Arabidopsis thaliana: one gene and its partners. The protein of the gene in region 4 interacts with the protein of the main gene of each other region in a pairwise test. Each region holds a gene or a part of one and is shown on either strand. Other genes may lie near its edges. The genes, in order: AGL36, AGL86, AGL38 and AGL28.

Region 1 (8,623 bases), on a different chromosome or scaffold from region 4:
CATTGTGAGAAACTTTAGATGGCATGGGGTACATGGGATGCTCAAGATGAGACATGTGGGTTATGTCGGATGCCATTTGATGCTTCTTGTCCTGACTGCAAACTCCCTGAGGATGATTGCCCTCTAAGTAAACTCCTCGGGGATTATTGCCTGTTAGATTAGATATATGAGAATCTTATATTTGTATATATCTAATATCTTATGAACAGATTTATGCTTATCTCATGTAACCCTATATATATATGTTCAATACATAACTTTCCATTCACGGAGATTCATACAATTACATGGTATCAGAGCTATGGCCATTGCCCTATGTGTCGTAGAAGATGGAAATATAAAGAGTAACTAGAGTGGGAAGAGAGAGATTTTATATTGCGCCTTGATTAGACATCTAGCTTTGTATCCACTTTATAGAGATGTAATAAATCATTAATCAGAGTTAAGTTCGACCTTTGTATGAATATTAATGGAAGCAACTACAAATAGCAACAAAAATGTAATAGAGATTTTGGTTCATGACATGTGGCTAAAGAAAAGAAAGATAATTTGTTTCATGGATATATTGTTCTTTTTAATATTTAGCACCCAATTTCAATTTTTTTCGTTTTAACATCCGACTAATTTTGAGAATATACATGCTCCTTTTAAGAAAAATTAGTGAATCTATAACAGTAAAAAATTAGAAATTAATAAAGCTTAACCTCTATAAATTAATAATATCGAAATTATGATATTTCAATATTTATACAGTTATTAATTTATTAATTAAATGATCTTAAACACTTATTAGGGATCAAAGATTTTAATCTATCGAGTATTAATTTATATAATTATTACTACACCCAAATAACCAAGTGCCGCATGCTTAGAGTTTACATACTGTAAAAATAAAATCTTGAGTTGTACCAAATTTATATAATTAGTTCTTAATTTAACGTAGCCATTTGAGTTTCGGCCCAAGTGGTCAGAGGAAAGGTGTGATAGTTAACTTTACCAAATTATTATTTTTGGATATTATGAGGTGTTTTGGGCCTTAATCACTTGGCTAATCTCTTTAGGGTGAGTGTAGGATCGATTAGCCCACTCACCGAGTTTTTTAATGAGTACTTAAATCACGCTCCTCTCCCTTACCTCTGCCATATCTTTTAGAGAGGGAAAGCTTCTTTTTATGACATTGATCAGATTGTAAAATAGATTTCTTTGTTTTGTCTCTTCCAAATCATATCTTAGATCTATAGCTTAGGTTTAGTGACTTGTTGTTGTTCATCTCTGTATTTGTTTCGGACAATAAAATTCCAACTAAGATCGGATCTGTTTTGTTCTCTTCTTTCTACATACATAAACTCAAATCGCCGCAGCTATTGGTTAGATCCTCTTTGTTCACCGTCAGCTCAACTCTTCTTATATATATACGAGAGTAATATCTCCACATGTTTATCCATGGATATAGGCCTATTACGGCCAAAGGCGAAGCTTCCTACTATAGGAGCAGATTGAGATTATGAAGATTTGTTTTTTCTCGATCTACTTCAAGATGGATTCGATGGGGTTCTCTCGACTTTAGCAACGGGCAGCGCTGTAGAAGAGGAGCGGTGGTGGATCTGAAGTCTGGCGGCGGAGCTGCGCTGATCGTGGATTTGGCTAGCTACGTTTGTGTCATCTCATCTCCTTCTCGCGTGTGGACACGTATACCGCACGTAACACTTTTTTAATCTCGTCCTTATCTTTAAATTTTAGTAGGATAAATAGACTTCAATTTAAATTGAAGTTGTAAACGCTGGTGGTTTGGGCTTTTTTCATCATCTATATAACTCAATGGGCTTTTCATTTTTATGAAAATGATCTTGTGGACAAAAAAAATGAAAAAATAAAAATAATGAGACCATAAATCATAGCACTATTTGCAACTAAACCTAATTAAATTTACTAATAATTTTATAACAAAATACAAACAAAAATTTATCAAATTATTACCCTCGATTTTTTAACATAATTTAAAATAACACGAGATGATTAATATTTGCACAAGCAAACAAACATGTAATGAAAACCCAGAAAAACTAAATCTTCACAATATGCAGGAGCAGGCTATATAAAAGACTAATGATATATTTGTTTTGACATTAAGAAAACAGTTAGATTTTATGCTGAATATTATCACATACACATATATACTGTAATCAATGCTGTGATGGTGTGTAGATGTATTTTTTGCAAGTTTTTTCTTATCAAAAGATATTTTTTTCCTAAAACAGTATTTAGGTGATTTACACAGCTCTCTAGTATTATCTTATATAGTTATACATTTTTGTTATAATGGAAAGACTAAAAACTACCCACACTTTTTTTCTTTCTACATTTTTCTTCACAAAATAAAGTCATGGAAAGTCATGAAAATTAGGAACCAATAACACCCCCTTAGAGTCTAACTGGTGCAAAATTTGGAAGAACAAATTTTCTACCTAATTTTTTTGAGCCCAAAAGAATGGGAACAATGTTTAAAAAATTGACCTAGGCACTGATCGATATAGGCTCAAGGCTTCTATCGAAAGCCTAACTAGCGCCTAACGATTTTTTTAACATTGAATAAGAGTAGTTCTTTTTTTTTTGTTATCAAATAATTTTTTTCGAAAAGAATAAGAGATTATTGTTGCTTTTGCCATTTTTCATAGAATTTTTTTGAAATTGTAATTTTTACTAAAATCTTATGGATATGCCATTTTCTAACACTAAAAAAAGTATGTATTTCCGATTTTTTTGGTAAAAATACGTAGTTTATACAAAATATTAAATCCTAAGAACAAGCACAACCGACTAAACCAAAACATAACGAATAAAACACATGTTAAATCATATTTTCGTAGTGTGAAAAAGGCAAAATCTACAAACTATTCAGAAAAGGACAAAATCCACAGATACCATCCCAAAAAATGGCAAATCGATAATTGATTCAAAGAATAATAGTTCTTACTTTAAATTGCTGGGGAAAACAATTATTCTCTATGTATGGGTCCTAAAAGAATTCAATTGAAAATTTCCGTCTAAATATTGTACCAGTCACATCTTAAATTTTCGAAATAAAATTCTACAATTAAAGTTTCCCACACTACGGTGAGCAAATACATTACTTAATAATCTTTTTTTGGGGGCAAAACATTACTTAATAATCAAAATACATAATTAAGTTAAAAAGAGATCCTTTAACCATTATTAATAAACAACATTAGTTTTTGTCTTTCGAAATGAAGAAAACACAAATACAAACAATTGAACACTTAGACTAGTTCTTCTCCCTCTTTTGTGATTAGAGATTATTGTTGATGTAAGGATCATAGACACCGGTGGTGGAAGGCATGTAACTGGTGGAAGCATGATCAACGGCTGGTAGTTGATTGGATGGTAGTTGATGGTAGTTGTAGCAGTTTCCGTCCACGAAAGGAATGCTTTCACGCCCTCCAACATGATTCATATGTTGTTCCACCATCGGATTCATGAATGATTGTTGTTGATTCAGATACTGATTCGAATTCAGATTCAAATTCAGATTCAAATTTATGTTGTAGAATTCTCGTTGAATCTGATTAAACAGATTATTAGGAGCCTGGTATTGAACCTGATTCATATTCTGATTTTGAAAAAAATCACAAACGTTAGTAGGAACAAGGTGTTGAAACGGTTCATGCAGATTTTGACTCATATTCATATTTTCATATGGAATATGATCAAAAAATCTACTGGAAGCAGTTACCGCAGTTGCGTCCGCATCAAGAAAAGGAGTCATATCGCCCGTAAGAACATGAGGATTGGTAGCATTAAGAGTATCTACAACCCCAGTTGTAGCATGAATAGGAGAGTCGGAAAATGACTCATCACCAATTTCGTCAACACCAATTCTAGTAGGAAAAGGAGAGACGGAAGACAACAACGACTCACCATTTTCTTTAATGGACTCGATCCTTCCGTTAAGCTGATCGAGATATAGATTTATACAAGATTGCAAATCTTGAAGGTCTTTTGCATCATAATGATACTGGGACATTTTGCCTTCAACACAATCAAACATAAATCGTCTAACCTGTAACTCTCGGTTCTCAGCAGCCAGGTTCTTTAGTTGCTCTTTTGCTTTGGTAATCCTCTCCATAAGGTAAGTCTCTTGATCCATCATCTTCTTGGTTCGGGCTGTCGGCGGCATCTCCAGAAACCTTGAAGCCACCTTTTTAGCACCTTCCCTTGACGGCCATGACTCTGGAACCGGTATGAATGGACTGTAGATGAGAGCACAAGCTTGGACACCACACAGAGTTGACAACTCGTGGAGTTTCTTAAAAATCCCGTCTTTCCTCTTTATGAAGGATGTTTTCCTTGATCTTTCATTAGCTATCAAAGATAGCTTCACCTTCTTCATCCCCATCAATTTGTTTTTTTTTTTTGTTTTGTGTGGTTTGTTTAATTTGTTTGCTCAAAGGATGTTTATATAGCAAAGAAAGGTGATTCTATAGACACTAGGATTCTTATCACTTTGGTGGACTAATTAATTCTAAATAACATCCAGGAAATCTCTTATCAATTAATTGACCAGGTAATTCATTATTATCTATATAAAAATATTTTTTCTTATCCAAAGTTTGGTACGTCTGATCCTAAATAATATCTGATGACAAAAAAAAGAAAAAAATCTATCCATGTAATACGAGGGGGCATGTAATATAATATTTTGTATTTCTAAGTTTTGTTTTTATTTTGGCGAATTAATTTCTCTTACTCTCATTGTTTCTTTTTACTAAGAATAATTTCTAGCTTACTTTGTTCTTAAAATATGAAGTTTTGCAATAGTTTTAAGTGATTGTACTTTTAAAATACAGTAATATATTGTCAATGTATATAGAATTGTGGTAAGCTAGAAATTACTCTAAAGTTTGTTATCTAAAGTAAATTTCAGAAAGTTTGTTATCTACAGTAATTTAAAGATGTACTCTGAATCATACAAATAAATTTTTAGAATGGGCAAACAACTTGGAAAATATGCAAAGTACATCTCACAGAAACGCCAAAAACTTTGAATAATTGGTATGAATGCCCTTTCAACACAATCCCTTTTCAGTATTGCCCTTTCTTATTTGTTATTTTCATTTATACCCTTTTTTAATTTTTAATGACTATTTACCCCTATTTAAAATATGTTTTAGGTAAAAAAATGAAATATTGATTTTTCCCGCCTATAATATTCTGAAAAAAATTTTCCGCCAAAAAATTTCAAAAAAACATTTTCTGCCATAATATTTGTTTTAAAAAAGATTTTTCCCGCAAAAAACAAATTTCGCAGGAAATAGATTTACAATGGATTTTAATAGATTTTTAAAATGTGTAAAAGGGTTTTAAAATATTTATAAGGGATTTTAAGAGATTTTTATAAAGTGTAAAAGGTTTTAAAAAGATTTACAAAGGATTTTAAAAGATTTTTATAGGGTTTTAAAAGATTTACAAGTGATTTTAAAAGATTTGAAAAGGGTTTTAAAAGATTTACATGTGTTTTTAAAGATTAACAAAGATTTTTAAAATAATTTTCTAGAACTTTAAAATGGTTCAAAAATTATTAAAGGGTTTACATGAGATTTTAAAAGATTTTTAATGGTTTACAAGGGTTTTTAAAACATTTTGTAAGGGGTTCATAAGAGTTTAAAATGGTTCAAAAATTATTAAGGGTTTTTAAAAGATTTTTATATGGTTTTTAAATAGTTTTCAAGGGTTTTAAAGGATTTAACAAGGATTTTTACAACATTTACAAATGTTTTTAAAATCCTTGTAAATCTTTTAAACACTCTTGTAAATCTTTTAAAATTATTGTAAAAGGTTTTAAAATGTAAAACAAAAGGTTTTAAAACGGGTTTTTAAAGTATTTACATATATATTTAAAATTTTTATAAAGATTTTAATAGGTTTTAAAATGATTTACAAGGGTTTTTAACAAATTTACAAAGCTTTTAAAAACCTTTACAAAGATTTTTAAATGCATGTTTTTAGCTGGAAAAACATTTGTTACAGAGAAAAAAAAATGGCGGGAAAAAAATTTGGCGGAAAAAAAAATATTTTGGTAGAATTTTTTTTTGTCAGGGAAAAAATAAATTCGGCGGGAAAATTTCAGTTCATAAATTACATGTTTCTCATTAGATGTGGGTAATTTGTTTGTTTTGCTCAAGAGAAAGAGTATTTTTAAAAATGGACTACATATAAGGGTAAAATCAAGAGTTTAATACATTAATATGACTACATGTATTTATTTATTAATAATGACATATAAAAAATTATTTATGAAAATTATTTTTATTTAGAAAATATATGCATAATTTGGGTAAAATCAAGAGTTTAATACATAAATATGATTTTTGTCTTTTTTTTTATTTGTAAAATTATAATTTATAAAATCATGTGGATATTATATCTTTTGGGGCATTGACCCGATATTATATATTTTTCATTGCACTTTTAGAAATAAATTTTACCAGCTAATAATGAAGAGTAATTTAGCTGGCATTACCCTATTTTTGATCTTATTAATATCCCTAAAATAAATAGCTTTATGTAGACATGAGAGAATTGGTAAGAAAATATGATCCAATCATAGCTTTGGAACCCACATTTCAGAATTTTGGAATGCTTTTATTAATTATCAAGATAAAAGCATACAATTTCAATAATATAATATCTTAGATTGTAGAAAAGTTTTGGTAGAGGTTTGTTATCCGCTTGAAAAGAGATTTGTGTAAATGTCAAATTGAAAACTATTTGAAAGAACGAATTCTGTTTTTTAAGAGTTGCGATTTTTGCGAACCCAAGTTTAGATGTATTAAATAAATAATTTAGAAGTACATATATGAATTTTTGGTGTTTTCTTAACTTATTAACAAACAATTATTTGTTCTAAAATAATTAAGATTGTGAATAGTGACCTAGAAGACTATTATATTATAAGAAATATAATTAAAATTCTTTACTTTAATATGATGATTATTAGGCTATTATGACTTTATAAGCAACGTTATAGAGTTGATAAAATGAGAATGAAGACATGGTCTATGTTTTTAACTTCGAGCGTTATGATTAGGGGTGTCAAAATGGGTCAGAATTCATGGGTCAACTCAACTCAACTCAACCCATGATTCCTAATTAGTTGAAATTTTTGACTCAAATGAGTTGATGGGTCAAATGAGTTATTGGGTCAATTGGTTTGATGAGTAAAATGAGTTGGGTTGTAATGGTTAATGGTTTCAATGGTTTACCCAATTAACCCATCAAATTTTGTAAAATTGAATTAAACCAAATAAAATCTCTAAACCAATATCAATTTAAGTTTAACCAACACATCTAAACCAATTTAAGAAAATCAATATTTTTCCAAATTTCTTAAATATACAAGAGATGAAATTGAGAAGACGTAAACTCGTAATTTATCCACCAAAAAACAGAAATCCGTAATTTTCCCGACAAAAACGTAAATCCGTGATTTTCCCGCCAAAAACGTAAACCCGTGATTTTCCCACCAAAAACATAAACCCGTGATTTTCCCACCAAAAACGTAAACCTGTGATTTTCCCGCCAAAAATGAAAACCCGTGATTTTCCCGTCAAAAACGTAAAACCCGTAATTTTCTCGCCAAAAACGTAAACCCGTAATTTTCCCGCCAAAAACGTAAACTCGTAATTTTCCCGCCAAAAACGTAAACCTGTAATTTTCTGCCAAAAAACGTAAACCCGTGATTTTCCCGCCAAAAACGTAAACCCGTGATTTTCCCGCAGAAACGTAATCCCATAATTTTCTCGCCAAAAAAACGTAAACCCGTGATTTTCCCGCCAAAAACGTTAACCTGTAATTTTCCCGTCAAAAATGTAAACCTTTAAAAAATAGAATCCGTAAATATCCTAAGTTTGATGATAATGAATTAATAATTATTAAAAATGATAATTATTTAATAGTGTTTTATAATAATAATTAATTAAATTATTACTTAAATGGATTAACCCATTTTGTTAAATGGGTTGAGTCAACCCATAACTCATTTAACCCTAAACTCATTTGATTATGAGTTGGGTTGAGTTTGATTACCCATTTTGACACCCCTAGTTATGATGTTTGTATTAATTGAGTTATTATAGATATATTATACAATGTACTATTATGTGTTTGATTTTTTTGTTAAAACAATATTTTTAATATATGGTTTAAAGTATGGTGTTTTATATTTTGATCTTTTTTTTTTTTTTGATCTTTCCAACAAATATACACTTTCTAGAAAAATCAGAAAAATCGCCTCGGCAAACTCATTAATTTCTAATTCCATGCAACCTAGTTTTAAGTCATTTTTTTTATCTTGACGTGCTCGTTAGATTTCTTTCTTTTGTGTTAAATTACTATTGTTTTATTACAAGATTAATGTAAGCTTTTTGTCACATGATAAAGTAATTTTATGTAACATAGCAAACTAATCGGATCATTTGAAAAGCCAATTGGGCCTATGTAAAGCTAATTGTTGGGCTCTATTTACCTGTTAAAGCTTGTTGTGATTAGCATAGGCTAGGTTTTAGATATACAAAATATCTAGCCTTTTAGAGCATCTATTGGAATT
Region 2 (8,347 bases), about 11 Mb from region 4:
ACAGTAGCCAAAAGATTTAATGCTGTAACTACAAATTAATGAGTCCAGAAACGTGATAAGCCACACCCTGAGTAAAAAATCACCCTTTTCGTTGCTATATAAACAGTCTTGGGCCAAGAAACTAAACAAACACAAACACCAAAGAAAAGAAAAATAAAGATAATGAGGACGAAGACTAAGTTAGTACTCATACCTGATAGACACTTTCGGAGAGCCACATTCAGGAAGAGGAATGCAGGGATAAGGAAGAAACTCCACGAGCTGACAACTCTCTGTGACATCAAAGCATGTGCGGTAATCTACAGTCCGTTCGAGAATCCAACGGTGTGGCCGTCAACCGAAGGTGTTCAAGAGGTGATTTCGGAGTTCATGGAGAAGCCGGCGACAGAACGGTCCAAGACGATGATGAGTCATGAGACTTTCTTGCGGGACCAAATCACCAAAGAACAAAACAAACTAGAGAGTCTACGTCGTGAAAACCGAGAAACTCAGCTTAAGCATTTTATGTTTGATTGCGTTGGAGGCAAGATGAGTGAGCAACAGTATGGTGCAAGGGACCTTCAAGATTTAAGTCTTTTTACTGATCAATATCTTAATCAGCTTAATGCCAGGAAGAAGTTCCTTACAGAATATGGTGAGTCTTCTTCTTCTGTTCCTCCTCTGTTTGATGTTGCGGGTGCCAATCCTCCTGTTGTTGCAGATCAAGCTGCGGTAACTGTTCCTCCTTTGTTTGCTGTTGCGGGTGCCAATCTTCCTGTTGTTGCTGATCAAGCTGCGGTAACTGTTCCTCCTCTGTTTGCTGTTGCGGGTGCCAATCTTCCTGTTGTTGCAGATCAAGCTGCGGTTAATGTTCCTACTGGATTTCATAACATGAATGTGAACCAGAATCAGTATGAGCCGGTTCAGCCCTATGTCCCTACTGGTTTTAGTGATCATATTCAATATCAGAATATGAACTTCAATCAAAACCAACAAGAGCCGGTTCATTACCAGGCTCTTGCTGTTGCGGGTGCCGGTCTTCCTATGACTCAGAATCAGTATGAGCCCGTTCACTACCAGAGTCTTGCTGTCGCGGGTGGCGGTCTTCCTATGAGTCAGTTGCAGTATGAGCCGGTTCAGCCTTATATCCCTACTGTTTTTAGTGATAATGTTCAATATCAGCATATGAATTTGTATCAAAATCAACAAGAGCCGGTTCACTACCAAGCTCTTGGTGTTGCAGGTGCCGGTCTTCCTATGAATCAGAATCAGTATGAGCCGGTTCAGCCCTATGTCCCTACTGGTTTTAGTGATCATTTTCAGTTTGAGAATATGAATTTGAATCAAAATCAACAGGAGCCGGTTCAATACCAAGCTCCTGTTGATTTTAATCATCAGATTCAACAAGGAAACTATGATATGAATTTGAACCAGAATATGAGTTTGGATCCAAATCAGTATCCGTTTCAAAATGATCCATTCATGAATATGTTGACAGAATATCCTTATGAATAAGCGGGTTATGTTGGAGAGCATGCACACATCCCTTTCATGGACGGAAACTACTACAACTACCACCAGCCACCAACCGTTGGTCTTACTTCCACCGGTCACATGCCTTCCACCACCACCACCACCACCAACAACAACAACAACAACAATGTGTGATGTGTTTCAGTAGTGTGCATTTTGTGTTTTGTTTGTTTTAAAAGACCAGTATTTAATTATGCTTTTCCTTTTCAATTAGTTGTTGTAAGAGTTGAAGGTTTTACCTTTAAGTCAGTTCTATTTCAATGAAGTCATTTCTGTTTGGTCACAAATTATTTTTTACGAGCTTTTTGTTCTTAAAATGCATAACTAAATAGATCTGCCAAAATCAGATAGGATTTTGTTTCCAAAAAACATCAATACTTTTCAAGCCTTCATTATGGTTAAATACTTATATGATTAAATATTTTGAAGAGAGTTCAGGACGGAAGTTGTATATATAGGAGGAGAAGTACCATTGAGTATATATACGAGGAGAACCATTGTTGAAATTGGTCGCAGTGAATCACTCTTGAACCGAAAAGAAGCGCTTAGAAATCAGATCAAATCCAAACACTCTAATCTTCCTCACTCGTTTCTTAATGCCACAAAGATCCAATATGGCAATGTAAACATAAACAGAACTAATTACATCTTTCTTAGTTTATGTTCTGAAACATGTCATACTTTACAATACAATTATTTGTCGATATTAAATCCTTCTTCTTTGTTTTCAGGACATTGGTCATGCATGGGCTTCTTGAAGCATATTCCCGAACACTTGCGAATCTTGCTTTCTGGATTCTTTCAAGAATGGGAGAAATCTTGAAAGAGTTATAACTCCCTTGCACCACCGAGTAGCATCCTTAGCTCATGTGACCCTAAAGAGCACCCCAAAGGCCTTTGCTTTGGTCCCGTGTAAGGCCTCTCCGATGGGACAGAGACTGGTTTTCTATTTTTTGTTTGCAGTTGCTAAGGCAGGTAATTCAGTGAATACAACTCCAAGTAGAAGCAGTAGACTGTGGTGTTTAAGTAAAGTGCCTTCTGATACTTCTCCTTGATTTAGAGGGTCTTCCTAGTTCGATGCGTGCCACCTGAAGCTTCTCCTTTAAAAACCGTTTTAAAGACTGTATTAAGATTGAATATGGTTAAATTGATTTGGCTCTTCTGAAAATTTTAAATAAAAAGCTGAGATATTAAGAAAATAAGGTATATTTTAGGATATGCATATATTATGGGCCTAAGGTAATTTGAAATTAACACAAGCCTTAATGTATCTCTATCTGTACCTATCACCTACTAAGTATTCATTAAGATTTTTTTTTAGAAAAATGGCTTCCTAGCGTTCTATTTCAACTATAGGCTTCACTTCGTGTATCATCCCAACACTGACGAGGTTTTTTGGGTTGGATTCAAGTGTGTACTTCAACTAAGAACATATTTTTGGTGACCAGTTATGCTTACTACAACGTTCAGATAAGATCGACTATACCTTGAATTGTTTTAGTATGTGTAAATTAAATACATAGATTAAACGGATCGTGATTACCAAAAAAAGTTCTTATGTATATATATGGACCTTATTTAAGATATCTATAGTTAAACTTTTGAACATGACCTATAACTATAAGTAGCTTAAGTCGCCCCTAACTAAACATATAAATAAACATGAAAATTAGTGTTTTATGGCAGATGAAAGTTATTTATTATCTGAGCCAAAAATATACGGTGAGCTTGAAATAAAATTTAGCATTTAAAGAGAATGGAAATTAAACTACTACTGGATTGAATTATTTACCATTCTCTCATGTAATATCTTCTACTCTATAGTATTTTTATAACTATTTGAAAACATTTAATCAAAAATCAATAAATATGCTATTTATTTTAGAGAAATTTCTACATTTTGTAAATGTAATTGATAAGAAGAGAACCAGTCAAACAAAGTCTAATTAACGATGTGCATTCTTGTTTTTCTTATTTTTTGGTTATTGTTAGACCTCCATTTTTTTTGGATTCTCTCTCATTATAATCATACCACACAAAAAAAGTATGAGAGAAATAAGAGAAAGGTTCTTAAATAAGAACTTTTGGTATATTAACTTGAACTTTGGGTATATTACACTTGTCTTTTTTTAATTGGTTCATTTTTTGCTTTTAAACCAAAAATTAATATATAATTAAACTATATTTAAATATTAATACTTTAAAGTTTAGATATTTCTTTGGGTATGTAAAAACAACTGGAAGTTTTCTATACGTAGTCTAAAATCTTTAATTTCCCTATTTACAGCTTATAATTAGCTGGCAATGCAATGAAATATTCTAACCCAATAAAAGAAAAAGTATTCTCCAAAAGGTATAATATATGCATGATTTAACAAATTATCTCTAAACTAATTTATTACTGAGCCAAAAGAGGAAAGAAATCCATCTATTAATGTATAAAACAGTTATTTTATCCAAATTTCCTTTTAATTAGAATCAACTTAATGATTAAAAAAAATCAGGTGGACCTGCAGGCCATGACAAATGTTCTTTTAATATATTTATTAAAAAAGTTCATATAACCAAATCTGAGATTTAAAAAAATATATTTTTCTCTAATACTCTACTATTATATATTTTCATTTGTTATTATTGTAAGTATCAAATATTTTTACTAAATTAATTAATATAAATTTTAATGATATTTTATTATCTTATTATATTGGTTTACAAACTTCTTGGTATGTTCTCCTTTAATGTATATAGGTAGTTTAAAGATTTTCTTAGAAATAGAACACATATTTCGTGAGATTCATGTTACATTGTTTTCAAAAACTTTCGTGCTTTCTAAATATTTCGTAAGACTCACGTTATATTGTTTTCATTTTTTTTCTATAAATAAACAACTCTTTTGAGCTTGTATATATTCATGATTTTACATGTAAATTGAAGATGGAGTACTCTATTTAAAAAGAAGAAAAAAAAACACTTCAAACTATTACTAAATTTCATAGTTTATAAACAAAACTTTAAATTACTCTTAAAAGAAAAGTGAGAGTAATATAGGAAGATAAACTATTCTTAGTAAAAAGAAAAGAAAATCTATTCTTAGACATAGCTTTAATTAGTGGCCTCGTCAATTAATGAGACAGTAAACACAAAACAAATCTAATGAGTCCAGCAACGTGAAAAGCCACGTACTGTGTAAAAGCACAATTTTCATTTCTATATAAACAAGACAGTCTTGGGCCAAGAAAGTAAACAAAACACACACCAAAGAAAAGAAAAACAAAGATAATGAGGTCGAAAATTAAGTTATCACTCATAGCTAATAAGACCTCAAGGAGAACCACATTCAGGAAGAGGAAGGGAGGGATAACGAACAAACTCCATGAGCTAACAACTCTCTGCGGCGTCAAAGCATGTGCGGTAATCTCCAGTCCGTACGAGAATCCAGTGGTGTGGCCGTCAACCGAAGGTGTTCAAGAGGCGGTTTCCATGTTTATGGAGAGGCCGGCGACAGAACAATCCAAGCTGATGATGAGTCATGAGACCTACTTGCAGGACAAAATTACCAAAGAAACAAAGAAACTGGAGAGTCTACGTCGTGAAAACCGAGAATCTCAGCTTAGGCAATTTATGTTTGATTGTGTTGAAGGTAAGATGAGTGAGCATCAGTATGGTGCAAGGGACCTTCAAGATTTAAGTCTTTATATTGATCACTATATCAATCAGCTTAATTCAAGTGTCATGCTCCTTACAAACAATGGTGCGTCTTCTTCTTCCTTTCCTCCTCCGCTTCATACTTCAGTTGCGGGTGCGGGTGCGGGTGCGGGTGCTGCTCCTCTTGTTGTTGCGGGTGCGGGTGCGGCTCCTCTTGCTGTTGCGGGGGCGGGTGCGAGTCCTCTTGCTGTTGCGGGTGTGGGTGCGGCTCCTCTTGCTGTTGCGGGTGCCGGTCCTCCTATGGCTCAGAATCAGTATGAGCCGATTCAGCCCTATATCCCTACTGCTTTTAGTGATAATATTCAATACCAAGCTCCTGTGGATTTTAATCATCAGATCCAACATGGAATCTATGATAATCTCAGTTTGGATCCAAATCATCAGTATCCGTTTCAAGATGATCCATTCATGGAGATGTTGATGGAATATCCTTATGAACAAGTGGGTTATGCTGCAGAGCATGCACACATCCCTTTCATGAACGGAAACTACTACAACTACCACCAACCACCAACCGTTGGTCTTACTACCACCGGTCACATGCCTTCCAACAACGCCACCACCACCACCACCACCAACACCACCGTTGTGTGATGTGTTTCAGTAGTTTGCATTTGTGTTTTGTCCATTTCAAAAGACCAATCTCTAATAATGTCTTTTCTTTTCAGTTAATTGTTGTAAGAGTTGAAGGTTTTACCTTTAAGTCAGTTATATTTTTATGTATTGGGTAATGTATTTCTGCGCCGTAGAGCCGGATATTTCAATTATATTTGAAGAAGTTTGGTCATAAATTTGTTTTTACTTTGTTTTTTGTTCTTAAAATACATAACTAAATAGATCTGCTAAAATCAAATATATTTTGTTTCATAGAAAATCTTACTTTGGATATATTATTCGCAAAAACATCAATACTCTGTATATCTCTTTCTCAATCCATAATTTATTTACTTCCCACACCTACCTATATAGCGAGCAAATGAACACACTAAAGAAGTAAAAACATGAACATAAATAATGAACACACGTCTCAGCAAACCCAAAAGATTAACAATACAAACTGTAGCTTGTTTAGTGTTGAAAATTTGAAAAATCAACATGATAAAATAATGAAACTAAAATAAAAGGCAAGTTTTCAGTTATCTCTTACATTAGGATCCTACGAATCAAGTTAAATTAATTCTAGGATCCTTAAAAAAGCCAACACTCTGGACGTGTGGTTATGTGCGATCAGAACAAGAGATTCACGGGAGCCGGAGGTTCTTTCGAATCCATAAGAGCGCCTAAACTCTTCACTGTCTCCAAATCCTAGGAGCTTTAACTCTTCTTATGTTTTTTGTTTCAACATTGTAGTAGAAAATGTAGAAGGGTCGAAAATTGAGTGACAACCTCTTTGGGGCAATAATGATCTCACCAGCCTTGTTGGTGTCTGGAAATGACATTTTAGCACACTCAACATCATCCCAAAAAGAGGAGGGAAACACACATGTTTGCTTTGACCATTCATGTTTCTCGACGTCTTCTAGTATCCATAAATCGAAACTATGGAAACCGATCATAATGGTCGCTCACAATGGAAGCAAGCTTCCCTTTGTATTCAATGAATACTGCTTCACTTCCCCATTGCACAAAACCCTTAAGTGCATTGATAAAACTCAGTTTCTCAGTTCTAAAATGAAAACAAACCAAAACTGTCTCTTTAGTTTTGGTTAAGAAAGCAGCTTAGTAGAGAAAACCGTTGATGAATACACTCGCTTGATGACCCGCCCTATAAGGTAAAGGGGTATCTTTAATGTGTATCCATACTTCACCATCTCCCAATGTTCATAACTTGTTCTCCAGATGACCACTAGATATCATACCTTTTTCTCTTCAAGGATAATGCTTTGTGTTGATCATCAATAGGATCGTATCCCACGATCAAAGCAGTGGTAGCAGGTAATTTAACCGCGATTGCTTCGAGGACATAGAGAAGAAGTAATCAATGAACCCTCGGCTTCGGATGATGGATTGCCACATCTTTGACACGAATCAAAACTTCATAAGAGACTTGGCAGGCAATCTAGCTAGTACAACCATATTTAGATCAAGAGGGAGCGAATCTAAGTCTAACCTACTTGTGTTTGTGTCTTTCTCATCTTCCTCCCCGTTATCGTTATTACAATCTCGCTCGTTACATTTCATGGCGCCTCCTAAACAAACCCTAGATTTGATTCGGCAAATGACTTTAGTTTTTGTGGCTCTTCATTACAGACTTCGCAGGCAATCTAGATACTGTAGCGATATCGGACCTAACTTACTTCGGCTGCTACAAAATCTGTACGTCCTTGCGTTTCATGGAGATTCCTGACGAAGCCCTAGGCCTAGCTATTCCTTTCTCAAATTTCTTTTTTTTTTCTTTTAATATATTAATCAGCCCATGTGAATATCAAATGGGCCTAATGAGGCCCATAACTCAAGTTAGAACTGTCAAATGGTCATCTAACCATGGGCTAAACCCAATCCATAATGTTCGTAACTAAAACGGGTCATATGGTCTAAAGACCAATTTTGTCCACGGGTATAATGGGCTAACCCATACGGTCTATGGTTGGCCCATCAATTTTCTCAACACATCAGTTTTCTTCTCTTCTCTCTCACACGTCGACTTTGTTCTCTCTCGGCGACGAAGCTCTCTCTCTCTCTCTCTCTCGCTTCGACCTCTCTTTCGACTCCTACTCCGGTTAGTTCTATTAGAATATGAATCCGTTGATTAGAATAAGTTCTCTCTGAAATATGCGTTCATATGTTAGTCTCATCGATTTTGTTCTCTAAGTCCTGATGCAATTTCATCGCTTTGTTCTTTGCTATTCCTTAATTGTGATTCTGCATATGCTTTCTTTGATTTCAGCTTGTGGGTTTGTCCAAATTTCACTTATTTGCTATTCTTTGTTATTCTCTCTCTCCCTTCCTTTGATGCCAACCATGTGTTTGATGAAATGCCTCACAGAATATGTAGAGTTTGGTTTTGGTAGAGCTTGTAATTAATTGTGTAGAGCTTGGTGTTTATGTATGGAGCTAAGTGTGTGTTCGCTAATGTTTATGAACATTTCTTATAGCTAATTTCCACAATTAAGTAATCGTTTCTCACCAC
Region 3 (8,262 bases), about 24 Mb from region 4:
AATTACGGTAATAGTATTCTCGTAATTTTTCTTCCGGTATATATTGGATATTGAAGATTACTACTTTACAAAGATTTCAGATTTGTGGACAATTTCAAAACCACGTTTTGGCAACGCATTTTCTAGATTATTCCTTTAGATATTGTGAGATGACTCATTTATTTTATTTGTTATCAGATTTCAGTACCAGAGATATGAACTCAAAGAAATTTACTGAAACTATGAACTCAAAGACTATATACTACATGTACGACACACTTTTAAATTCTTGTCATTGACCAAATAAGCTCTTATGTATGGGTTATAAATTTTGCTGCCTGGTATCTTCTCCACTTCACTATTCTAAATGCTAATTGAAAAAAACACTCAACGTTATTGAAATTATATTTGTCACCAAAAGAATCAGATCCTTCGAAAAGAAGAAGAAGAATCTGTTTTATTACAATTGGTATGGTTTTCTCTATCAGTTGATTCGATATTGGTGTGGTAATGAAGTGGAGAAATTAAAGAATAGTAAAATTAAAGACCCCACTTATTATTTCTTCCCTCAATAAAAAAAACAAAAACATTTCTCTACAAAAATCATAAATGTTATAACCAAAATAATTGAAAAAAGTAGCTCGAGAGAGAAGTAGCATTTGCTACTTTACCCAAAATCCCTAACCACATAATAAACCAAACCCAACAAAGAAAATAAAATTTCAAACCAAAAAAAAAAAAAATGAGAACTTTAGAAGAATCGAAGATCTCTATTGTCTTCTTGTTGCTTCTTCTCTTCTCAATCTTCATCAGTTCCAGTCACCAGGTTAGTTTCTTTACTTAGATCCCTCTAAAGTTCTCTTCTTTCACATCTGGGTATTTCTAATTTTGTTAAAAATCAAACCTTTAACATAACCTGAATTCAAAGTTTTGAGCTTTATGGGTTTTGATTGGAATTTTGTTTAGGCAAATGAGGTATTACCAGCTGAAGGAGATAATGAGATGATGATGGTGCCATTGGGGGAGGAGAAGTTTATGGTAATGAATGAAACAAGAAGGAAACTTGGAAGTTTTCAGATATGTTCAGTTTGTACTTGTTGTGGTGGTGCTAAAGGTCTTTGCTTGCCTTCTCCTTGTTGCTATGCTATTAACTGCAATATCCCTAATAGACCCTTTGGTTACTGTTCTTTCACTCCCAAAACTTGCAATTGCTTTGGTTGCCATATCTGAGATCTTCTACTTCATTGTAATTTGTAAGTTTCTTATTCTTCTCTGTTCTTAGTTTCTGCTCAGTTCATGTTTTGATGTTTGGTTATGAATGTTTTGATTCCAGGGGAGAGAAACAAGTGAATCTAAATCTTGATTCATCTTCAAGTGTGAAAGGGAGGAAAAAAAGAAGAATATCTGTTCTTGGTTTGAGTCTTCTACTTATTTTTTGTCTATAATTTATTTTTCAGTCTTCATTAAATTTCATTACCTACTATCTCAGCAACATCATCATCCTCATTAATTAATTGTCTTTTTGCATTTGCCATTTTTTCATAATTTTCTAGGGTTTTTTTTGTTTTGAGAATCTTGTTCACACTTCAAGCAAGATTTGTTTCTTCTTCTCTGTTCAATCAATTCTCTCTATCTGTCTTTCTCTCTCTCTTTTTTTTTTTTTTTCATTCTCTTGTTTACTTCATCATTTTGTTTCTTATGTGTTTTAAGAAAGTTAAAAGTTAGAATTTAGCATATTTTGGAAAAGAGTCATTGTTTGGTTAAGCTGGCAATTGGAAGAGTATTTAATATGATGATGATGATGGTATTGATGGTGATGGTGGTGATAGTGAAGCTGTTAAAGTTAAGTCTTTGTAATGAGTGACATGTTAAGAAAATGGATCAAGTTTAGTGCCTTATTCTGATCTGATAAGATCTTTAAGTGTTTTAGTTTAAAATAGAGGAAAAAGAGTAAAAAAGCAATTATTCATCTTCAAGTGCAGAGACTAGACAATATCTTTGAATATGTTTATTTATCTGACACTGTTATTATTGTAAGAGATGTTTTATGTCAAATGTTTGTTCCAACTCTCTCTATTGCGTTAGCGTAAGTAACCTGCAAGATCTGTAAATTAATTACTAATTGTTATTTATTATTCACACATGGGACATCATAAAGTTGTCTTGGTGATAAATTTAGTCAATATGTGTGTGTGGGTTAAGAGTGTTGACTATACCAGTTTCCCCGTGATTGATTGGCTTTTATTAAATCGGACAATTTGCATTTATATTCACAGGTCATGTTTATTAAACTCTACATTGCTGTCTAATGTCTATAGTACACCAAGTCTATTGGTGATTGAAATGTCGGAGAACGGTATAGTTTTTCTGTTCTTACAATAAAAAGGTAGATTAAGAACACTGATTAACTCAATGTAACCCATACACTTACACGTCGGGTCAATCTTGAGCGGTGATCTTTTGGGTTTACCTCTAACCCCGGACTGGTTAAACACTTTTCTCACCTCACCACATCAAAGCCATAATCAGGGCCCAAATTTGAGTGCCTACAGCAAAAAGATTTTGGCCCAATAACAAAAAACTGTTTTTTAAAACAATTACAAAATTTTCGTCTAAATTAGATTCAAAACTGTATAGTAAAATGTTTGGGACTAACCACTAAACTACAGTCACATTTTTGAAAATGATGACTCTAAAACAAGTTATAATTATTTGCTGCGTAATACCCTTGCTTCATGGGATTACGTGGAGAAGAAGAGTAAGTATCAATCAATTTATTGCTAGAGATTTGCAAAAGGGGGAATCCGTGTGCAGAGGTGTCTAGATGAAGCCATGAGTCTACAGCGGAGTTTGAATTTGCGGTGGATGAGTTACGGTGGAGATGACATTTTCCAAACATTACAAGCCTTAACACGTGTACCTACTGAGATTTTGATAGAACTTGAAATTGTTTCCCAAATAAACCTCTTATTCGGAAGTTAGGTTTTGGACTCAAAATGGATGGGATGCATCATGAGGTATGAGATATGTTTCCCAATGTAGTCTCCGGCGATGAGATTCTTTATCACCATTTTTATTTAACGTTAATACTTAAATCTTTGTAAGACAGAAAAAGAATAAGATGTTAGTCAAGATTAGAATAACGAGACCTAATTTGTGAAATTTTCCGTAGCTTTTTGTGGATAATAGTTTGTTTAGTAAAACTGATCCGAATTAATGTGAACTCGTAAGACTCCTCCATCTCAATGGAGCGGCTAATTAGAACAACTACTAAATTGTGACAAATCTAAGGTTGTCTCACATAATTCAAGAGTTTAAAATATGGTATAGTCTTAGATATAGATATCTTATACCAATATTCATAATTTGCTAAAGCTAACTAGACATTCCTAGATAATTTACCGCCAAGAAAACTAATTAATTGGATATGTTTTTCTTTTCTCTATAATTTTTGTATATTTAATTAATGTAAATATACAAAATTATATCAAATATATTATTTCCTTATATGTTTCATTTTAATCATTTTTTATTAAAATGAATAATTGGACACCTAGATAGCTAGGCCAAAACAATTTTTGACATTCCATTGACTTATTTACCCAAAATGGAAAGTGTGGGTGATTCTGGCTGTTTAGATGCTTAGACATAATCTTACTTTCTATCCAACTAATTATTACCTGTAACTGTAAGTTTCAATTTTAGGCATTTTATATTAATTATATTAAAATAAAAATAATAACAAATAGAAAAATGTATAGAGAAGAAAATATCTTAAATTACCTTTGAAATATATATTTTCCTTTAAATGGACTTTCTATATAAAAAATAAATCACATTACATATATGATACAATTTTCCCCCTAAATGTCTGGTTTTATGCCCCCCAAAAGGTAAAATATCTATATGGGCTGTCTATAAAGATAAATGATTATCACTTTACCATCAATCACATGCCAACACGTAAGGGTGAAAGTAATACCATATCCTGAAAATAAAAATTGAAAATAGTCCAGCAAAGCAATAAGAAACACATTTTATCTAGTATATAAACAATCGTCCTCATGCTAACAAAGCAAAACACATATAACAAAAACAATAGATATGAAGAGAAAGATGAAGTTATCGTTAATAGAAAACAGTGTATCGAGGAAAACAACATTCACCAAAAGGAAGAAAGGGATGACGAAGAAACTAACCGAGCTAGTCACTCTATGTGGTGTTGAAGCATGTGCGGTCGTCTATAGTCCGTTCAACTCGATCCCGGAGGCTTGGCCGTCAAGGGAAGGCGTTGAAGACGTGGTGTCGAAATTTATGGAGTTGTCGGTGTTGGACCGGACCAAGAAGATGGTGGATCAAGAGACTTTTATAAGTCAAAGGATCGCCAAAGAAAAAGAGCAGCTGCAGAAGCTACGTGATGAGAACCATAATTCTCAGATTCGGGAGTTAATGTTTGGTTGTCTCAAAGGGGAGACGAATGTGTATAATCTTGATGGAAGGGATCTTCAAGATTTGAGTTTATATATTGATAAGTATCTTAATGGTCTTACTCGCAGGATTGAGATCCTTATTGAGAACGGTGAGTCTTCTTCATCTTTACCTCTTCCTATTGTTGCGAATGCAGCTGCACCAGTCGGATTTGATGGTCCTATGTTTCAATATCATAATCAAAATCAGCAAAAGCCGGTTCAATTCCAATATCAGGCTCTTTATGATTTTTATGATCAGATTCCAAAGAAAATTCATGGTTTTAATATGAATATGAATAAGGATTCGAATCAAAGTATGGTTTTGGATTTGAATCAAAATCTTAATGATGGAGAGGACGAGGGCATTCCTTGCATGGACAACAACAACTACCACCCCGAAATCGATTGTCTCGCTACCGTCACCACTGCCCCCACTGATGTTTGTGCTCCTAACATCACCAATGATCTCTAGTCTAAGGGATGTATTTCGAGTGAAGTGTTTGATCGTTTGCATTTGTGTTTTCTCCATTTTATAAGACAAAACTTATATGTGATGTCTTTTTTATTATTATTAATTGTTGGACAATTCTTGCGTCCACACTTATCTTATTTACCCTTTCTTAAGTTCCTTATTAAACTTTACATTTTTTTTAACACCATCAAAAACTTTCTCTTTAAGTTGTTTATTACACTTTACATTTATTTTACACCATCAAAAACTAAGGTCACTAAATAAAAAAAACTATGAAGCCTCATTTTCCCATAGGAGCAATGTGAGACATAGACAAATTGAGTAAACAATTACATCACTTGGTAAACAATTTTTTTAATATTTAATTAGTATTGGTTGTTATTGATTTAAATTTTATATCACTTTCTAAATAATTTAAAATCGTATATTTGTATCAAGTGATGCAAATGGATTTAGATTTGTATCAATTTTAGTGAACTGATGCCACATAAACTAATACGACATCGATTATTGCAATTGATGTTAAACTATAATTCTTGTATCGATTGTAAACAAGTGATTCAAATTAATAGCATTCAATTTTTTTCATGCAACTACTTTTTTGTTTGTAGTATTTGTTGGATAGAACGTAATGTTATGGCTTAACATTTAAACGGCCAGAACTATCCACACTCTCCATTTTGGACAGATCAAGCAATGGAAGGTCAACATTGTTTTGGCTTAACCATCTAGGAGCCCTATTTATTTGTTTTTAATTACATTTTAAGAAAAATGACTAAAAGAAAAAATACAATGAATTAATATATTTAGGATAATACAGTATTCAAATATTTACATTAATTTAATATTTAAAACAGTATAAAGAAAAAGAAACATATCTAATTAGTTTTATAGGTGCTTAAACATATACGAATTCAGTAGTTCTTAGCAAATTTTAACTATTGAACTTTGTGTTCAAAATAACCTTCCTATGATGTCAAATACTGAAACTATTTTAGAACTCTTGTGAGTTATCTTAGCACCACATTTTATCACTTATAACTCTTTTTTTATTATTTTTACCAATAGAAAGTTTATAACCATGTTTTTATACCAATTGAATTTCTTATATTTTTCAAATAATTGTAATACCAAAAGATATTCTTAGAGTAATGTACTTTACAAATTATAAAAGTTGAAAATAGCGATATATGGGCTCCATCTAATGATCTCAATGCGGGACCAGCATGTGATATACGAATGTCTATATACATTATTTTCTCTGTTTTGTAACAATAAACGAGTAATGAAATTATATTTTATTGGCTTCAATTTGTAACAACCAACAAGAGGTCGAATGAGCCAACTAGAATACAGCCCACGATCAATAATCAAACCTATGAAACTTCCTTCTCTCTTTCTTTTAACATTTCCAAACACTATATATACTAATGTCACTTACCTCGATTGTCCATCAAACAATACATTTGAGATATCAATACTCCTGTGAGAACAAAATGAAGCTTTCTTGTGGTACAAGCTTTGCGTTCTTACTTCTGTTTCTTCTTGCGGCACAATCTGTGCATGTCTATGCGGGTAGCTTCCACAAAGACGTTCAGATACATTGGGGTGATGGCCGCGGAAAGATTCACGACAGAGATGGAAAACTTCTTTCTCTCTCGCTCGACAAATCCTCTGGATCCGGTTTTCAGTCTAACCAGGAGTTTCTCTATGGCAAAGCCGAGGTTCAAATGAAACTTGTTCCTGGTAATTCAGCTGGAACAGTGACAACATTCTATGTAAGTTACATACAATTTTCAAACCGTTTTTTGTCATCTTTTGCTATTCCTATAGTACATATATTTAGGCCTACATTAATTGAGTATGTTTGTGTTTATGATGACTTTGTGTAGCTAAAATCTCCGGGAACTACGTGGGATGAGATCGATTTCGAGTTCTTGGGAAACATAAGTGGTCATCCATATACTCTCCATACTAATGTTTACACAAAAGGCACAGGAGACAAAGAACAACAATTTCATCTATGGTTCGACCCAACCGTTAACTTTCACACTTATTGCATCACATGGAATCCTCAAAGGATTATGTAAGCGTAACCTTTGATACTTTGTATAATCTTATATGTTTTGAGGCTATGCGCTCATGAACTTACGTTCTCTTCTGTTTTTGCCCCTCTTACAGTTTTACGGTTGATGGAATTCCTATTAGAGAGTTCAAGAACCCCGAGGCGATTGGAGTCCCGTTCCCAACTAGACAACCAATGAGACTCTACGCGAGTCTTTGGGAAGCCGAGCATTGGGCAACAAGAGGAGGATTAGAGAAAACAGATTGGTCAAAAGCTCCTTTTACTGCTTTTTATAGAAACTACAATGTCGATGGATGTGTATGGGCTAATGGAAAATCATCTTGTTCCGCGAATTCCCCATGGTTCACTCAAAAACTCGATTCGAACGGCCAGACAAGAATGAAAGGTGTGCAAAGTAAATACATGATCTACAACTATTGCACCGATAAAAGAAGGTTTCCTCGAGGAGTTCCTGCCGAGTGCACTTAAATTCTTGATTCTTTGATACATGAATATGTTACTTGGCATTGCCTTTGTAACTCAATCAAGTTTTTATTTATTTTTATCATTTATTTGTTGCTCATATATACAGTATGTGGTGTTTGTGTAAGATGTTTTAAGATTGAAGTAATAAAAATAAATTATGGAAAAAAGCTTTCATTTGTTAACGTAATTAAATTTAACTGGCCGGCTTCACTAGACTTTTTAAAAAGTTAAAAACATAGGTAGAGGAGTTCATTAATTCTACAATAATGCTTTGGAAGAACATAAATCATAGGCTTACTAATATGAAGAACTGATCTATCTGATATGAAGGTACTTTAATACTCTCCCCAGTAAGAACACTAAATTCTTTCATGTACTTGCACTGATTTACTAGTTTTTTGGTAAACAATATATGTTCGATTGTATCTAAAATTGATACATTGTTCTGGTGATCAATATACATTGTATTCTCAATTTCTCATCTTCCAGTTATAATAACAATACTATATGGTTCTTGGTACATAATCTTTTACTTAACAAAAATAATTATAATATATGAGTTCGGAGAATTTGCTTTACCTGAGTTCTCGAGAGTGGTTATTAAGACGCTGCACACAGAGTATGCACACCCCAACCCCAACTTGCAGTATTCACTAACAGTATCACCTTGAGTCAAAAATAAAAAATACATACAACTTGCATCAAAAATAAAATCTTGCTCTATTTTGTAATAAATAACAATAATACAGCATAATAGAATGAAATCAATTTACCTTCTGTTTTGGGAATGA
Region 4 (8,535 bases):
CCCTTGTTGTTCGGCGTTCCTGCAAAAATATTATCCCAGCTTTAGACATGTTTCAAACTCTTAAAGAAATGTAAAAACGTAAAGGCAAATTGTTTTGTATACATCGCGATAGAGTAGATCTTCGGCTTCAAGCATATGTATGATATGACCCATTTTAGGTCTCTTGTTCGCATCAGGATCCACACAACGCAAAGCTACAAGCAACACTCGTTTAAGAGCCTTTGAGGATGGTGGTTCGGGTATTTTCGGATCAACAACTTCTTCTGATCTTCGGTTTCCCACCATTGATTTAAGCCAATCCACTAGATTTGTCTACAGCCACGACACATAGTAAGACCATTTACAAAAACATAGAGAGGATTGAATATGCTTATCAAATACCTCTCCTTGAGGCCGACTATAATCAACCGGGTTTCTTCCAGTGATTATCTCCATGATTAGTATTCCGAAGCTATAGATATCACTCTTCTCGTTTAACATTCCGGTGCAAGCGTATTCTGGTGCTACATAACTAAACAAATCAACCCACAAAGTAAAAGTTATTTCCTAATATTCACATTCCTAAAGACTGCCTTGCAGATTGCAGGAGAGAGTTAATGAGTTTAATAGTTTACCCGAAAGTTCCCATCACACGAGTAGTCACATAACTGCTCTCAGACCCCAAGAGCTTAGCAAGTCCAAAATCCGAAACCTTAGCATTCCATTGGCGATCAAGTAAGATATTGCTTGATTTAATATCCCGATGAACAACTTTTGGCTCAAGACCCTCGTGTAGATACGCCAATCTACAGATATAACAAAGGTTTACACACAACAATAGCTTATAAACATAGAGGACAACTCAAAAGCTATTCCAGACTTACCCTTTGGCCATCCCCAGTATAATATTCATACGTATATCCCAAGTTAGCGGGCTGACATCGCCAACATCACCGTGAATCCATTGCTCCAAATTACCATTGTCGACAAAGTCATACACGAGCATCCTATAGTAACGAACCCAGCATTAGGTCACGACATCGCTTTTGTAACACCGGAAAAGAGATACGAGCAGCGGTATATATACCTGTATGCACCTTCCACGCAATACCCTAAAAGCCTAACAAGATTCTTGTGTCGTACTCGCCCAATGACTTCCACTTCTACTTTGAATTCCTTCTCTGCTTGACCCCTGGCAATCAAAGACACACCAACTAGAAATGTTACAGATCACATAGATCAAAATCCAGAAGCATAGTGCTATTATTAGTAAAGACGTTACCCATAAAAACCACATGAGACCAATGACATAATCTATACATACATAGAATTCAATAATAACAACAACCTTCAGGACCACAACTCACAGGCAATGCAGTTAAATAAGAGAAGGACTCTGATCACGATCACTCTTAACCATCTACATAAATATCCACAAGCATTTACTTAATGGATCTAAGCACATTACATGACGAGGTAGAGAAACAGAGACAAACTTCAATACCAAGCAATACAACAAATAAAATTCTTTGATTACGCAAATTGCAAAACCCCCAACTGGTAATTCCTAAAACCCCAATCTAGAAACGAGTAAAGGAATCAAATCGGAAATTTGAGAATACCTAAATCCCTTATCTAGAAGTTGAGTAAAGGATGAATATTTAGAATGAAACCAATACAAAATCAAAGAATACCTAAAACTCAAATTGAGAAACAGAGTAAAAGGACCAATCTTTAGAATCAAAATTGAAGATTTGGAAGTACCTATTGTTAAGCAAGTTCTTGACGGCGACTTTGGTTCCATCAGTTAAAATGCCACGATACACAATCCCGTAACCACCTTCTCCGATTACATTCTCTTCACAAAGCCCATTCGTGGCCGCTTCAAGCTCTCTCAGAGTATACCATCGGCCCCATCCAAGATGCGACACCTCCGGCCCACAATTCCCGCTACCGGAATACGACGCCGTTTCACTTGCACTCGCTGTTCCTCTACTCTCACCACTCGACACTCGATCTGAAAACACCACTCGATGCTCGATCTTCCCGATATCGACCTGGATCTCCGCCGGAACAGACTGATTCTGCGCCGGAACGATCTCTTTAATCTCCTTTGAAATCGGCGGTGTAGCGATGGCGGCGGAGGCGAAATCGGCTCTCGGCTTTCGATTTTTCCGGCGAGAAGTTAAGCAGAGGGAGAGAAGAAAGAGTGCGATGACAATTAGAGATCCAAGTAAGATTCCGATCACGACCCATAGCCGGAGACCAAAAATCGATGTCGGTTTCGAAAGCTCTGTATTAAGGAAAGCAGCGTCGTACACCGACATCGTACTTTAACTTTTAGCTTAGATTCCGTTACAGATTCTTCCGGTTTCTTCGCATTCTTCGCCGGAAACACACAAAACTTTCCGGCCAAAATCTGGGCTTTGTCACAGCATCGAGTGTTGAATCGAGGAAGAACAAAACAAATAAAAAGATTAAATTGATAAAATAAAAAAAACGATAACGAATTTAAAGAGAAAGGCTTTGGAGTGATCTGTGTTGATGTAATTGAATGAGCTGTCTTTTTGAGTTCCTGTCTGAGTGTAATTGCATGTGTGGTGACGGTGAGAGAAGGTTACCCGAAATGTCTATTTTACCCTTTTATGGAAAGTGGAAGATAGTAGAGTCTTTTATATAGTTTTGAGGAGTTTTTTGGTAATAAATCGATGTCGATAGCCGTTGGGGTGGTATGATAAGGTACGGTTCAGTGCAATTAACCAATCTGTGGATTACACATTGGTTAGTTTTTCGTTCTTGTTTTGACTATAATTGAACCTTGACGTTTGATTATTTAATTGCAAATTTTATATGGATATAAACATACTCATGGAATAATTATTGAGTTTACTTTATGAGAAACTAATCACTTTTGTTATGGGAACATGAGTGCACCAAAAAATCATTTGTTTGCTTCTGATACACATTATTATTGGTTTGTTCATAAAAAATATTTGTTATATATATAGGAAGAACATTTTTTTTTGTTTATGTCACATTAACACACAAATCGGATTTCTCATATCATATATGCAGTAAGTAGATAAAAAGACTGAAACTGCAAGTCAAGGTGATGAAGAGCCTGATTATCCTGAAAGTCAATGTTATGAGTAATGTTGTATTGTTACAGTTTTAATGGTGGATAAAAAAATTGTATCTTTGACACGATGGATTGTGTAGATCATTCGTTGAAACTTCGGAGGTCAAATGTATTACTATTTCATAATATTTGTGTCTTCAAAAAGTTTGGTTGGCTCTTAAAAGTAGAGCAATTAATGAGAGAATAATATTTAGTGTGGCCACGTATAATCTAGGTTTCCTCCTAAAAAGGGTTTAGGTGGGGCTAAAAGAGAAAACCCATTATTGCTCCAAACAAGTAAATTTTGTAGTATGCCAATAAGTCAATGATCAGCGGCGATGGTTGGTTTAGACTTTAGACTTTAGAGTCGTTTGGAAGTGCAAGCTTATGATATGTGGTATTTGGGCTTTTTTAAAAGTAGATTCTGAGCTAATAAATGTTGTCTTTTGCATTTGGATATTTCATTACCTGGGCTAGAATTTGTTTTTGTACAAACTCTAGCTTATAGAATCTTACTTAGTTTTCCCTAATCAGTTTTAGTTTGGTTCCTTGTTGGGCTTAAGACTTGTAATCTATATGCTAGAATCTTTTACATACTTGACTATTGAATACCATTACCGACCAAAAAAAGGAACCCAATCAGATTTGATTCCCACCGATAAATTGTAACAAGAAGGAAAAAGATATAACAAGAAACATGAGAAGTGTATACATTTTTAAAAATTCGTTTTTCAGGAGAGGTATATAGGTTATAGATTATCAATATATCATCATCATGTATAACAAGCAATTAGAGGCAGAGAAACATAGCCCATTAGGTAACGATCATGGGCTATATTAATCACGGCCCAAAACAAATTGTGTAAAAGTATACTATATTCAGAGATGATATAACAAATTGTGTATCACATATTAAATCTAATTTAATTATCACAACTTTTTTTTTGAAAAGTCAGCGATCAATTAAAATATCAAAACAACTATTTACTTAAATAAAATCTTGGAAAGTCGGACATAAAATTTCAATCATGTCATTTATCAACTTTCAATCATATTATTTTGTCAATTTGCTCTATAAAAACAAAAGTAAGTTGGACATAATATTTCATATATACACTATATGAATTTTATATAAAAAATTTGAACACTTAAAATAAATATAAAAGATCAAAAAGGATATTGATTATAGAAAAATAGTGGAAAATAAACACATGGAAAATATTTTTTAAGAAAATTGTGGATATCCTTCCCATATTTTAAAAAATTGACAGGCTGTAAACTTTAAAAAATGATAATGTTGGAGATAAAATAGAATATTGTATACCTTTTATTGACGAAATTTGTAAACCAATATATACTCCTAGAGTGGTAATTCATAATTTTGTTTCTTATAAATCACTATAGAAAAAAATATTTTCTTTCAATGCTCAAAACATATTTTGTAAAATTTAGTCTATAAATACAAATACCTATTATCTCTAATATAATCAACTCGCTTTTCTTTTTCTGTTCAAAACATCTCGAAAATGGCGAGAAAGAATCTTGGTCGTAGAAAAATAGAGTTGGTAAAAATGACCAACGAATCAAACCTTCAAGTTACGTTTTCAAAAAGAAGATCTGGTCTTTTCAAAAAAGGCAGTGAACTTTGCACCTTATGTGACGCGGAAATTGCGATAATCGTGTTTTCACCCTCGGGAAAAGCATACTCTTTTGGTCATCCAAATGTTAACAAGTTACTTGACCACTCTTTAGGGCGTGTTATAAGACACAACAACACAAACTTTGCTGAAAGCCGCACAAAGCTCCGTATTCAAATGCTCAATGAGTCTTTAACTGAGGTAAGTTTTAAGTTTTGGCATTATCTAATCTTTATTTCTTCTCTCTTTTATTTTTCAATTTAGATAAAAAATTATTATATAAGTGTTTCACAATTTGTTTTTGATTTGTAAAAGAAATGGTAAACCTCCTTTGCATATTTATTTCCTCAACAAAGTAAATTAAGAATGAAAATTTTGGTGGGTTCAATTTTTGTTTAAGTCATAGTCATGGATTCACGGATTTTCTTTACACATTCATTATTCATGAAATTAATTGTTTAAAATACAATTTTATCTTAGGTGATGGCTGAAAAAGAAAAAGAACAAGAGACCAAGCAGTCAATAGTCCAAAATGAAAGAGAGAACAAGGACGCTGAGAAGTGGTGGAGGAACTCTCCAACAGAACTCAACTTAGCTCAATCAACTTCCATGAAATGTGATCTTGAAGCTTTGAAGAAGGAAGTTGATGAAAAAGTCGCTCAACTTCATCATAGAAACCTAAACTTCTATGTTGGAAGTTCTAGCAATGTTGCTGCTCCAGCAGCTGTTAGTGGTGGTAATATCTCCACAAACCATGGTTTCTTTGATCAAAACGGAAACTCTACTTCTGCTCCAACACTGCCGTTTGGATTTAATGTTATGAATCGCACACCAGCTGGGTACAACAGTTACCAACTCCAAAACCAGGAGGTTAAACAAGTCCATCCTCAGTATTGGGCTCGTTACTATTAGTCTATCTCTCTCGTTGTGTGACTTTTTAAGTCTCCAATAGTTTGTTCTGCTTTTTGTTTTGTTTTTGTTTGTTGTTGTTGTTGTTGTCGGGCTTTTAATTAAGTCTCGAGTCAACTAGTTTCTTGTTTCTTTTCGTTATACTTTGTCTTGTAGCTTTATATCATTTTCTTGTGGAATATGAGTAAGCTATATGAAGTTTCATATTATGTCATTAGTCCATTCCGTATAAAAACCTAAGCAACAACTGAATATTACAAAAAAGCTAGTGACTTTCTACACAGGCTTTATCTGAAGTAATTTTCAAAACTAGTTATGTCATTAGTCCATTCCGTATAAAAACCTAAGCAACAACTGAATATTACAAAAAAGCTAGTGACTTTCTACACAGGCTTTATCTGTCTTCTAAGACGTTCTAAACTATTGAGACTTATATGTACAACCGGTTCATTCATTCATATCCCATGAGACTACCATTAGAGACTTCTCTCTATCGTTTAGTTCTAACTGGCGTTGTAAGATGATATCAACTTCCGCTGTAATAAACAGAGAAAATTTGTTTACTCTTCAATATTCTCAAGAGTCAAAATGTAACAAAGAGTCGACTAGCTCTTACTTGTTCATCAAACTCGGGACTCGTCAGGTTTACAGATAAATTTTTCATCAGTAAGAGAACCTGTTGAACAAAAAACCGTGTAAACGTTAGTTTTCAAATCAAGACATGTTCATGTGCAGAGTTATTGGTTTTCATACCGTCTCAAGATTTATTGGATCCATTTCCTTTAATCTCTTGACATGACCTGTTGTTTTAGGATCAAACACACTTCCTATAAAATTGTAAACTTCAGCGAAATTTGGCGCCACTGAATTGAAAAACCAACATCAAACAAACAAACTCATAATCAGTATATGAATATCACAAAGTCAGGAATCTCAAGCAAAATTGTTACCTCTATGTGGCTTTCCACAACTTTCTTGGTCATTTGTCTCTGTAACGATTCTAGTCCTCTGCTTATCTCTACTACTACTAGTGCTGCAACAGTTCTCTGAGACACCAAATTCCTCTACAATCACAAATTCATTACCCCACATTATTAACAACTCAAACAAGCAATATCTTCAGATTATTACATTAGTCCACACAGCAAACTTAAGCACATATTTTACCTTTGATAACAGAACTTGGTATACTAACATCGCAATGCACTAATCCATGCTTACGGGTGGTGCTAATCACCGGATGTGAATTAGTGTTGTATAAGTAGTCATGTTGAAATAATGCGTTTGAAGAAGAAAGAGTAACTGCATCAAAAACATAACCATGAGAAAATGAGATAAAGTAACAAAAGCGGAAGTAGAAAGATAAAAGGTTTAAGGTTGCCACATTTAGGAGCTTTTTGTGGATATGGGTGATTGGCTTTCCTCTTTGGTCGAGGAGGTGGGAGATGTTCTTTAGTCCCATTCTTCTGAACTTTGAGAAAGTACTTCTGTGCGTGGCTTCGTATCTACAAAACCAATATTCTAGTTACTATCCAACATACATAGAACTTATATCTCCAATTCCACCCCAAAGAACAGAGTTCATAAAATTACTTATATGTAACTTCAGACAAAAGTATGGAATGCATATGTTTGATTGATTACCTGTATCACTGTTTTTGATCCAACAAAGGCCTTTATTTTCTTCCAATCCCGGTCAAATCTGCAATCAAATAGACATGATCATATCAGAAGAAGAAGAACAAATCTCAAAGATTCTATATATCATTAATCAGATAAATGAAGGCAGAGAAGTGAAATCCGTGTCAACATACAGATGAAGGGCTTCAAGGAACTTGTCGTGTTCTTGCTCCGTCCAGTTCTCTCTAGATTTGGTGATAGTGTAAGGCTTTCTAACCTTCTTTGTTGGATCCTCAAAAAACGACATCGTCCTATTGCTCCGTATGGAAACCGGTATCGTTGTTGCCGTGTGGGGAAGAGTATTGAAACCCGGTAGACTCATTTTCATAGGCAAACAATGAGCTTGGCTAGGGTTTACAGTCACCATAAAACTCGACAACACACACAAAGTTCCCTTTTGGTTTGAAACAGAGTTTGTGACTTGAGAGACTTGTGTGAGAGTGGTGGTGGTATAAGCGGGAGAGGGAGACAAGGTTAGAAGTGTAATCTCATTCGAAAAATGGATTTAAGCCGAACACGTGTAAGGAGCCGGTTGCTCTGGTTCAGAGCGTGGGACTAACAACTACAAGCCATGTGGACATTCTCCTAACACTCATGCCACGTACAAATTTAAATCCACGGCACATAAATTGCCACGTGGAATACGATCGTAAGCCAGCAATCTTATTTACGAGATAGCTGCCTAGCTGGGGCCTGGTTCGACTAAAAATGAAGGTTACTTTCTTTTGTAGTTTAGCTCAAATTTTAGTTATGTACGATGATGTGTTTTATGTACGATGATCTCTAAAACACAAACGCAGCATATACAAATACAATACACACACCTATTTCAAACTACTAACCAAACACACAATGCTTTCGAGTTCATCACGACCAGACCCAGAAAACAACAACAAACGTCCCTCTAAGACAAGCTCATCGGATGTTTCTGCAAACCGAGAATAAATAAAAAGAAACAATGATTACAGATATAAGTTGGTTGATACCAACTACACAACACACGACACAGTCTCGAAACACAAAAATTGGGTGTCTCTGTTTTTCGTCTGTGAATCCTAAGGATGTTAAAGTAACAAAAGTAATTAAAAGAGAGAAACTCACAAATGGAGAGACTCTGTTTTTCTTTTTAATCGATCCAACGTGTGATACCATCGTCTCCTACCATTGCCAATATCTCCACACGAACGTCCAACACCGCCTGCAACATTCATT

Evidence for each region.
Region 1: the proteins of AGL28 (region 4) and AGL36 interact in a two-hybrid assay, tested with the Arabidopsis thaliana proteins (one large-scale study listed by BioGRID).
Region 2: the proteins of AGL28 (region 4) and AGL86 interact in a two-hybrid assay, tested with the Arabidopsis thaliana proteins (one large-scale study listed by BioGRID).
Region 3: the proteins of AGL28 (region 4) and AGL38 interact in a two-hybrid assay, tested with the Arabidopsis thaliana proteins (one large-scale study listed by BioGRID).

The regions. Positions count from the first base shown.
Region 1 is NC_003076.8:9,339,570-9,348,192, reverse strand, and holds AGL36 (AGAMOUS-like 36), read right to left. Parts: upstream 4,409-8,623; coding exon 3,308-4,408; 3' UTR 3,182-3,307; downstream 1-3,181. Other genes in the region: AT5G26640 (anaphase-promoting complex subunit 11 RING-H2 finger protein), read left to right, coding at 19-152, 298-352. UniProt on the Arabidopsis thaliana protein: Probable transcription factor.
Region 2 is NC_003070.9:11,315,992-11,324,338, reverse strand, and holds AGL86 (AGAMOUS-like 86), read left to right. Parts: upstream 1-4,791; coding exon 4,792-5,811; downstream 5,812-8,347. Other genes in the region: AGL92 (AGAMOUS-like 92), read left to right, coding at 163-1,420, 1,511-1,647; AT1G31620 (uncharacterized protein), read right to left, coding at 6,445-6,522, 6,787-6,883, 7,077-7,170, 7,332-7,398. UniProt on the Arabidopsis thaliana protein: Probable transcription factor.
Region 3 is NC_003070.9:24,250,846-24,259,107, forward strand, and holds AGL38 (AGAMOUS-like 38), read left to right. Parts: upstream 1-4,083; coding exon 4,084-4,920; 3' UTR 4,921-5,012; downstream 5,013-8,262. Other genes in the region: AT1G65295 (ubiquitin carboxyl-terminal hydrolase), read left to right, coding at 722-805, 946-1,209; XTH17 (xyloglucan endotransglucosylase/hydrolase 17), read left to right, coding at 6,351-6,698, 6,813-7,006, 7,102-7,474. UniProt on the Arabidopsis thaliana protein: Probable transcription factor involved in the development of gametophytes and seeds.
Region 4 is NC_003070.9:189,751-198,285, reverse strand, and holds AGL28 (AGAMOUS-like 28), read left to right. Parts: upstream 1-4,615; 5' UTR 4,616-4,623; coding exon 4,624-4,935; intron 4,936-5,214; coding exon 5,215-5,646; 3' UTR 5,647-5,652; downstream 5,653-8,535. Other genes in the region: AT1G01540 (Protein kinase superfamily protein), read right to left, coding at 1-19, 103-312, 382-511, 615-785, 864-986, 1,067-1,171, 1,744-2,306; ASG4 (Homeodomain-like superfamily protein), read right to left, coding at 6,227-6,319, 6,397-6,506, 6,594-6,707, 6,811-6,945, 7,028-7,148, 7,288-7,345, 7,458-7,690; AN (NAD(P)-binding Rossmann-fold superfamily protein), read right to left, coding at 8,450-8,521. UniProt on the Arabidopsis thaliana protein: Probable transcription factor that may function as a floral promoter operating upstream of known floral activators in the autonomous pathway.